3 linked regions of the Oryctolagus cuniculus genome follow. The protein of the gene in region 3 purifies or fractionates together with the protein of the main gene of each other region. This does not show direct contact. Links are inferred from orthologs where the notes say so. Each region holds a gene or a part of one and is shown on either strand. Other genes may lie near its edges.

Region 1 (3,658 bases), on a different chromosome or scaffold from region 3:
CATCTGGGACTCGAACCAGTGCCCATATGGGATACCAGAACTGCAGACGGCAGCTTTACCCACTATGCCACAGCACCGGCCTCCTGTATGTTTTCTTTATGAAAGATCCAAATGGCTACAAACATCTGGGGCTGGACCAGGCTGAAGCCAGGAGTCAGGATTCATTGGAGTTTTCCAGGAGGTGGCAAGGACCCAAGTACTTGGGCCATTAGCTGCTGCCTTCCAGGTGCATTAGCAGGGAGCTGGATCAGAAGTGGAGGTTGGACTCAATCCTAGGCACTCTAATAGGGAATGCGAGCGAGTGGCGGCTGAACCTGCTGTGCCACAATGTCCGCCTGTGTTTGGTTAAAAAACAGAAACACAACGGTGTTTTCAGTTTGCCAGCTATCCTCAGCAGCTTTCAGATGACCCAGTCTACAGTGTATTGAATTGCATTGAAACAGGTCTATCTTTGCTTTCCAAATATGATTACATAGTTGCTTTTTGTTCTCTAGCATTTGTTGCTGGCACCATCTGATGTGGCAGGCTGGGGAATTTTTATTAAAGACCCTGTACAGAAAAATGAATTCATCTCTGAATACTGTGGAGAGGTAAGGCACACTAATTGCATATTCTCATATTCATTGGGCAAGTCCATTGGGTTTGATTAGAAATGAATAAAATGTCTTTCCAGCTTGACTTGGGCTTGTGGGTTTTGGTTTGGCTTAGTAACTGGAATGCTTCAGTTTTAGCCACATGTAGCTTTTAGGATTTGGGGAAAGGGGGAGCATGGGAGCTTGTATGTCTGTCCTGCTTAAATTCACAGCCTAGCGGAAGAGGACCTAGAAATGCTCTTAGGGTTAGTTGTAGGTTAAGGGAAACAATCACAGGCCTAGCTTCAGTTTGTATTGAAGCTGCAGGCCGTGGCTTTTACTCAGCAGAAACACTTTCGTTAGCCATTTCCTCCAAGCATAATCACTTGATCCATCTTTGAGCTGGAGTCCTGAAAATGTCACTGCTCTTCTTGACCAGTGAACAGGCCAAATGGGAAAGAGAGGCTGTAGTGTTCCTTTGCTTAGTAGTCTCCCTAAGACTAAATCCTCTTGAGCTTTTTGTGTGCTCTACCAGGCTGTATCACCTGCCCCAAAACACTTTATTCTTATGTCTTTCCTTTTAGATAATTTCTCAAGATGAAGCAGACAGAAGAGGAAAAGTATATGATAAATACATGTGCAGCTTTTTGTTCAACTTGAACAATGGTATGTTTGAACTAGAACTTGTTTAGTTCCTCTGGGTTGCACGTAGGAGCCTTCTGCTGAGTGCTTGGAGATGGCGTTAGAATTCCACGAGGTGACTAGGAGGACCTCCAAAGGACAGCTTGTTTCCTGAGAACCTGGGTGCTGTGTAAGCTTGGCACCCTTCGAGTCTGTCTGACCTGGGAAGGACATGGAGTGTTGCATGTGAAAGCATCGTCCAACACTTGATCTGGGTGTTACCCAAGGACTGTGAACAGGAAGCTGCTGCTGTTCCAGTCACGTGCAGGTGTTCTCAGGAACGCAATCGGAACAAGTAGTTTTTCTGTGATTGCTACATAGACAGTATAGTGAAAAAACATTAATAGAATTTTACATGTGAAAATGGATGTTTTTGTGTTAGGAATTTAGATTCCTTTTTTAGAAAGGTTTTGCTCAGCAGTGCATAGTTGATAAGTAATAGCATGAGATAGACAACCATCCTGAGTTACCAGTGATTAGTTTTAACTTAGAACAGCATTTTCTCCCAAGTATCATTTAGAACTGAATGAAGTTGACTGCATGATCTTTTTGCTTTTGAATTCAAACCCTGAAGAACTATACCCAGTTGTATTTCCAGAATAACTGTTTATTGATTGACAACAAATTATTCAGTGTATTTTTTTTTTTTTTTTTAGATTTTGTAGTTGATGCAACCCGCAAGGGTAACAAAATTCGTTTTGCAAATCATTCAGTGAATCCAAACTGCTATGCAAAAGGTGGGTACTTAAGAAGTCAGAACTGTAGCTTGATAACATGGACTCCCTTTCTTATACAGTGATGGGGGCTTGAGTAGTTCTGGGACAGCTGTATGAAGTTCCCGAGTCAGGGAACCACCTTGTGGCCTGTCTTAACGCTACCTGCTCTGACACCAGTGTATCTTTCTTTCCAGTTATGATGGTTAATGGAGATCACAGGATAGGTATTTTTGCTAAAAGAGCCATCCAGACTGGTGAAGAGCTGTTTTTTGATTACAGGTTGGTAAAAGTACATTTCTAATGTGATCTGGGGGCTTTGCCTGCCTACATGTGAACTGTAGACAAGGGCTGTTTTTCAGTTCTTTGCGAGATCGGCTGTCATTGGGCATGACTGGGCATTGTCTGCCATCGGTGTCGGTGCGGCATTGCAGCCTGCCATCACAGTAATGTCGTTTTCCACTCATCATTTTAAAAATAAGCATTACCTACACAATTAGATTAAAACCTATGCAGAAAGCCCCACTTCTCAGCCTGCCGAGAGCTGTGTGAGTCCTAGTCCTCCTGTCCTGGTGCACGCATCAAGCCTGCTTGTGGCACCTGTCTGAAGACAGTGTGATCACATCATATTTACATAGATTACTCGGCCACCTGCTTTGACTTGCCAGTATGCTACACAGAACTTTAGTTCTACACTTACATCTACTTCATCTTTTTAGTTGCTGGAAATACCCCACACCACATTATTATTTAAAAAGTCAGCACTGTTGGTAACTACCTGCCTCTGGGCTCTTTCTGGGGAGGAAAACCACTGGGATGCTGGGAGGCCTTAGGCTGGCAGTTTATACAGCTTATCAAGTTCTGTGGACTAAATTCAATGCGCTTATATATTTAACATCCAATCAGATGCAGTCAGGTGACTGTCTAATAAAGGAATCCTGTTGCCGAATATGAATCCCACGCAGAAGCTGTTTAAGAGTTGTTGCAAACCAGGGCTTAATGACTACCACCACACAGTTGACGGAGAGAACTGAGATTGTCGGGTCAGAGAGGGGGTCCTTCTCGGGGCATGGTCGTCTCTGCTTCAGTCCAGTGTGCTCTGAACAGAGAGGCAGGTGCGCCTGGGGTTGAGGGTGCCTGGAGGCTGCACCCAGTGGTCGGGGCCTCACACTTCTCTGTCTGTCCCCTCACCTTTTCACCCGTGTGCAGCTGCTCTTTGGTGGCTCAGATCACTGTTTCCAAATCACGATTACCTTTTTGTTCTACTTTCCCAGTGTTAGGCCTGTACGTCATGATGTAGACGTGCCCTCCTGGGGCAGGCTGCTGCAGTGGCGTAGGGGAATGCTTATAATGAAACAGGTTTCTCAGTTCAGAACCTGGCGACTTCTTAACTAGGCTACCAGTGACACAGAATGTGTCGCCTTCCATGAATGTACCTCAATGCCTGTAGCTGTGTAAGTGGGTGTATGTACTTATCTTTTTAAGATACTGTAAGAAGCAGGGTTGGTTGTGTGCAGTCTCACCGCATGTTGGAAAGGTGACGATTGTTTTTTCATGTTGTTCCAGATACAGCCAGGCTGATGCCCTGAAGTACGTGGGCATCGAAAGAGAAATGGAAATCCCTTGACATCTGCTACCTCCTCCTCCCCTTCCTCTCGGAAACAGCTGCCTTAGCTTCAGGAACCTCGAGTA
Region 2 (3,658 bases), on a different chromosome or scaffold from region 3:
GCTTAGCATTATGATGTCCACCACAAATATCAGAGTGCCTGGGTTCAAAATCTTGACTGATCCTGACTCCAGCTTCCCAATAACGCCGGCTTTAAGAGGCAGTGGTGATGACAAAAGTAACTGAGCTCCTGTCACTCAGGTGGGAGACTTGAACTGCTTTCTCAGTTCCTGGCTCTGGCCCCTACCCAGCCCTGGCCTTGTGGGCATCCGGGGAGTGAACCAACAGATGGGAGCTATCTGTTTCTCTCTGCCTCTCAAATAAAAAGTAATTAAAAATCTTTTTTAAGTTTCTGAAAATGGGACATCTAAACTGAATGCTGGATACTTATCCAAAGGAGTGTCAAGTTAATGGAAAATTCATATTAACTTTTTAATTTTTCATGAGCTTCTATAACAATTTTGGGAAAAAGTAAAGCACATCTGTTAACAGTACCACAAGGCAAATTACAACTGTTACCTGTTAGTTTTATTTGGATTATAATCATAAGATTCTTTAATTGCATTCATCATTCTCTTTGAATTGATCCTCCAAAGTTTAAGAGAGTGATCCATACCACAGGACATTATTTTTTCACCCAAAAGATCATAATCCTATATGTAAAACAGAAAAAGTTTAAGTATATAAATTATAGTCCCAAATTATATTTATCCAATTTTCACCTGTTATCTAGTGAAAATTGTATTTCAAATCACAATATTAACAGTATTTTGGGTTTCATCCATGTAGGCCATAAGTGGGAGTTAGAGTGGACATTTGGCCTAGCAGTAAAGATGCCACTTGAGATGCCCACATCCCATATGTGCCTGGATTTTGAGTCTCCTGCTATCAGTTTCCTATTAATGTGCACCCTGGGAAGCAGCAGGTGATGCTGGTTTAAGTACTTAGATCCCTACCACCCACAAGGGAGGTCTGGATTGCATTCTGGCCCTAGTTTCTGCCTGGCCTAGTTCTGGCTGTTACAGGCATGAGAAGGGTAAACTCTCTCTGCCCCTCAAATTAAGAAAGAAGAAACACAATTACAGAGTTGACTACTGTTTTAAGTGGTTTGTCACCATCAGAGTTTATGAGTTTTGAATATAGAAGACAAAAAAGTAAATTACTTAAATTTACTTTGAATTTATTTAATATATTTACACATTTCTGTTGATTGATTTTGAAGGTAAACTGCATGCTGAAGTAAAATTATTGTACGACACAAAGAGATGAATAGTAATATTACTTTTCTTAATTCTAACTAAGCAATGAAACCGACATATGCATATGAGACATCAGGAATCCTTAAACAACCTTTAAGTCAAAATATATCAATGTTAACACTGGTTTTAAAATTCACTTTTTAAATAAAAAAGAAATTTAAAATGCAAACAGAATTTAACTTTTTCATTTACTTTTTACTAATATTTAATAAGACATCTAACAGGTCATCTATTTTAACAGCCCTATTGCAGAGTTAGACACTGAAGCCCAGAAATGCCACTTAATTTAGTACAAGGCACCTAATGAGTTAATGAAAATCTCACATTGATCCTTCCAGCAGTGTACTCCTTCATTACAGAGATACATATTGTTTCCTGCTCTAACTTCAACAAATAATAATAGAGTTCTACAGGAGAATACTTATTCTTACCAATTTATTTTGTAATACTCCAACCTTAAAGTAATTCTAAGTATTGCTGTTTTATAGGTGCCTAAGAGATTTAGGTTTGGTGTTTGAGTTCACTAATCTGGTCACTGCTACTTCTACTACCATCAATAGCAACAAGACATCCTTAGAGGCAGTAGCTCTAAGTTAGAGCTCTTAATAAAGGTAAGTACACTTGGATCTTACTTCAACGTTTAGAAAATGCAAGTAGACACAGTATTCTAATGTAGGTATAAGTATCACAAACTCCAGCCAGAGGAATATTTTAGTACCTCCAGTTTGGGGGCCAGCATTATGGTTCAGCAAACTAAGCAACAACCTGCAATACTGGCATCCCATATAGGTGCCAGGTTTGAGTCCTGGCTGCTCCACTTCCAATGTGGCTCCCTGCTAATGCACCTGGGAAAGCAGGGGAAAATGGCCTAAGTCCTTGGGCTTTTGCATCCTGGGCTAGTGGCTTAGGCCTGGCCCAGCCCTTGCTGTTGTGGCCATTTGGAGAATGAATGAGCAAATGGAAGACCTCCTCCCTCCTGCTCTGTAACTCTTTCAAATAAATAAATCTATTTTTAAATTTTTTATTAATTTTTTATTTTTTAAAAAATCGAAATAAATCTAATGAGCTATACATGGAACACAATAAAGCCAAAATATAAAAGTCTGAAATGTGACTAAAAACACTTGTATTATAACACATCAATGGATTATAATACATTAACATAAAGCTAACAGTGATCTTTCAATGTAATCAACTGTTGGTCTTGTGTAACACTAGGCCATGTAAAGGAGTGGAAACAGGATGAACACAATAAAAACTTCTTAAAAGTGGGTAACTTGGGGCCAGTGCCGGGGTGTGGTGGATAAAGCTGCCCTCTGTGACTCTGGCATCCCATATGGGTGACAGTTCATGTCCTAGCTGCTCCACTTTTGATCCAGCTCCCTGCTAATGACCTGGGAAAAGCAGCAGAAGATGGCCCAAGTGTTTGGGCCTCTGCCACCCACATGGATGACCTGGATAAAGCTCCTAGCTTCAGCTTGGCCCAGCCCTGGCTGTTGCAGTCATCTGGGGAGTGAAGCAGTAGACAGAAGATCTGTCTTTCCCTCTCTCTATATAATTCTTTCAAATAAATAATTAAATCTTAAAGGGAGGTAATATACATTTCAACTTTATAGAAAAGATGAATTTTCTAATGGCTAAGAGAAGCAGTAAAACGTTAGCTTGGTGATTTTATAGTAAAAGGAAAGGAGTAAGTTCACACTGTCCTTTCAAGAGAATCCAGGTATTGATATAAATCAAAGAGCAGGCAATTTTAAACAAAAGCAAAATCAAGCTTTCTGGTTTGATTTATTTCTTCACCTGTAAGACTAAAATCTTGTATGTAAAACAGTAAAATGACTGCTTGGTAGGTTATGTGAAAGAAACACATGCTTTCTTGTAAGGACAGAGCTCCATAGGGACTGTTTATAGCTTTGTAAATTTGCAGGTCACTCTCCTGAAACTTTCAACTTACAGCACTTAGAACTTCATCTCTGTGCCCCTCTACGCCACCAAATATTGCCACAAGAGTGTCCGTCTGGATATTCCATAATCGTAAAGCATGATCTAGGATGAAAGTACATAACATTAGGATAAACCTTTATCATTAACTACTCTGAACTTTAACTTACAACTGCTTGCACATCAGAGCCCCAGTTACTGTGAATTTTAACACATCCTCAAACTAACAAAAATTTAAAAAATTTGAATTCTGGCATAGAAATGACTAGGAACGGAATTCATATTAAAAAATAAAATATTTACATGACATGTAGATTTGAAAGTATTTACATGAAATGCAAATTGTAAATATTTATGTGATCTTAAATATTTTAAGCCTAATTACCTCAAGTAATTTTCTTTAAACAATATAAATTGATGGAGATATACTTTTGAGATGAGAAAATAAGTACCTAGGGACTTGACAAATAATTTTAAGATATATTTTATTTATTTGAAGGAGTTACAGAAAGAGGTAGGG
Region 3 (2,409 bases):
GGAAAGACATTCATGATTTCCAGTGTGACTTGAATTAGGAGCTCCAGAAGTCTGTGAAGACTAGACTGTACAAGTAAACTGCACTAAGAACGTGGTGCAAATAGCATCAGACTCAAATGCAGCTCTTGGCCAAGTCCCTTAAAGGGCTTTCCAGCTTTGTTCAACATTTCAGTAGTTTAGAATATAGTGAAGAGAATATCATCTTCTGAAAAGGCAAATTACTGGAAATTTTTAAATTATAAATTTGCAAAAGGAACGAACAGTCATCCATGTTGTTCTTACTATACTCAATCTACTATCTCATGTAGTCATTCTAACAAGTAAGGAAAATAGGCTATTATTAAATGACCCCATTGATGTTGGGAGTTGCCAACAAAAACTTATGCAATTTAGCCTATAACTATGTTTACCCAGATCAGTCTCATTTTAATTCTTCCAATATGACCAGATCACTACACAAAGGGCCTTACTTATTGCCCCCCTCCCCTACAACCTCCCAAATTGAAAACTAGTCACTTAAATAAAAAAGACCATCTAAGCAAAGTTTTACATGACATTATATATGGAAAATAAAGTACAATTTCCAATTCAGTCTTCAAATATTTTTATTGGAAGGCCATGCATTGCCTTCATTTATTGTATTTCAAATCACTGTACAGTTACTTTTGTGAAAACACTGCCTGCATTTTCTAGTACAAAAAAAACCTAAAAATTGTTTCAGGAATGTAGAGAAATATCCAACTTAAATAGCGAAAAAGTGCACCATAATTACTGCTGCACTGCAGTCATTTCTGCATTTCCCATGTTTCTTAAATAACTATCTTGTCTGGTAACACACAATATAAAGAGCAATTATGAAAAACAGACATTTACATATACTTCTAAAGTCTTATTGAGAATATCCTGTTGGCATTGGATAACCAATCATAGGTGCAGCTGCAGTAGCAGGATATGCATATGCCTGTTGGTTCATACCATTGTGCATATTTGGAACATTACTTCCATATTGCTGAGTGCTATCATACCCATTCTGGTAAGTCCCTGTTGGATTACCAGTCCTAAAACTGGTCTGTAAACCAGCAGACACAAAATTACTTCCAAAGCTCCCATTGGTGTAACTTGCAGCACTGTAAACACCATTTTGAGTTTTTGCCCCAAAATCTCTCTTAAGCAGACTAGAGTAACCTCTGTCATAATTTTCCCTGTCTCTAAAGGTATTAAATCCACCCCTTTTGCCCGCAGAGTATCTGTCCCGACGGTCATCCTTCATGCCTCCTCTACCCCTGGAACGACCTGTCAAAAAAAAAAAAAATGTTGCAAACTTATTAATGTCTGCGGCACAATTTATTGCTAATATATAGAAAGTAGGTAATTCTAGTCATAATCATGGGTGGGAAGTATTTTTCAATTTCTCAAATTAAGTTTCACATTCAAGATTTTATTCCCCCTCTAATCCCACCTGAATGGATTTGTAGACGATGTGACCTGAAACCACCTAATTCAAGGCGAGTCTTACCTGCCCCTCTGTCTTCGACCAGCTGAAGCAACTTGGGGTTAATTGCTTGATTAGCTTCCCGAAGCACAGAGATAAGGTCGCTCACTTGCTTTATGTTATTAGGTGTAAAGAAAGTGTATGCTGTGCCCGTTTTGGTACTGCGAGCAGTTCTTCCAATTCGATGAATATAATCCTCTGAGGAGTTAGGGTAGTCATAATTGATGACAAATTTCACATCTTCCACATCTGTAAGGTGTTGCAGTGTGGCAAAATAGCAATGTATGGAGTTTTGCACACCACAACAGCCAGACCAAAAATAAAAAGTTAGACAATTGTATTCCCAAGAAGGTACGGGCTGCAAAAAATACAGTTAAAATGGTTATCCTTTCCCTGTAGGAATACCATTCAAGTTTAAAAAAAAAAAAAAAAAAAAGAGGAAAAAAAAAAAAGCACACATCAGCTGTACAAGCCATCGCCCACCCAGTGATAAAGCTTGTCGAAAGGAACGTGTGTTCCCTAGCACATTCCCAATTCAGCACGTCCCCTTACAGATCATCAAGTGACATCTGAATGCTTCTGCGCAGTAGGGCCACTTTTAAGTTTCACAGCAACCTCTTCATGTGCTCATTTTGAGGACCTTTAAACAAAAATGTACAAGGTCCTTTGCATTACACACTCATCGGAAGTTCAAAATTCAGGCCACACTGCTTGTCTTGCCAAGACCTTACAACCGCAGCTGCAAGAAAAACATACCTGTCCCCCAAAAGTTGTTTTTATGCACTGTGTCTCGTCTAGGCAAGCGCTTCCAAGAAGCCAGGATTCACTTGAGAATGTGTCTCTCTCTGGCAGGTCTCGACATGACGACTACTGTGTCACAAGGTGAGGGAGGAACTTTCAAAGCACTGTTTTCTTTT

What was found.
Region 1: the proteins of DDX5 (region 3) and EZH2 purify together in Homo sapiens (affinity purification with mass spectrometry; 4 studies listed by BioGRID, with this or other methods). This does not show direct contact. The link is inferred for Oryctolagus cuniculus from reciprocal best matches to the Homo sapiens genes DDX5 and EZH2.
Region 2: the proteins of DDX5 (region 3) and EED purify together in Homo sapiens (affinity purification with western blotting; 3 studies listed by BioGRID, with this or other methods). This does not show direct contact. The link is inferred for Oryctolagus cuniculus from reciprocal best matches to the Homo sapiens genes DDX5 and EED.

The regions. Positions count from the first base shown.
Region 1 is NC_091434.1:174,767,225-174,770,882, forward strand, and holds part of EZH2 (histone-lysine N-methyltransferase EZH2), read left to right. Parts: intron 1-494; coding exon 495-590; intron 591-1,156; coding exon 1,157-1,238; intron 1,239-1,909; coding exon 1,910-1,990; intron 1,991-2,163; coding exon 2,164-2,248; intron 2,249-3,532; coding exon 3,533-3,593; 3' UTR 3,594-3,658. UniProt on the Homo sapiens protein: Polycomb group (PcG) protein. Catalytic subunit of the PRC2/EED-EZH2 complex, which methylates 'Lys-9' (H3K9me) and 'Lys-27' (H3K27me) of histone H3, leading to transcriptional repression of the affected target gene.
Region 2 is NC_091432.1:77,405,099-77,408,756, reverse strand, and holds part of EED (polycomb protein EED), read right to left. Parts: intron 3,244-3,658; coding exon 3,152-3,243; intron 592-3,151; coding exon 458-591; intron 1-457. UniProt on the Homo sapiens protein: Polycomb group (PcG) protein. Component of the PRC2/EED-EZH2 complex, which methylates 'Lys-9' and 'Lys-27' of histone H3, leading to transcriptional repression of the affected target gene.
Region 3 is NC_091448.1:14,232,360-14,234,768, reverse strand, and holds the end of DDX5 (probable ATP-dependent RNA helicase DDX5), read right to left. Parts: intron 1,742-2,409; coding exon 1,517-1,741; intron 1,294-1,516; coding exon 890-1,293; 3' UTR 588-889; downstream 1-587. UniProt on the Homo sapiens protein: Involved in the alternative regulation of pre-mRNA splicing; its RNA helicase activity is necessary for increasing tau exon 10 inclusion and occurs in a RBM4-dependent manner. Binds to the tau pre-mRNA in the stem-loop region downstream of exon 10.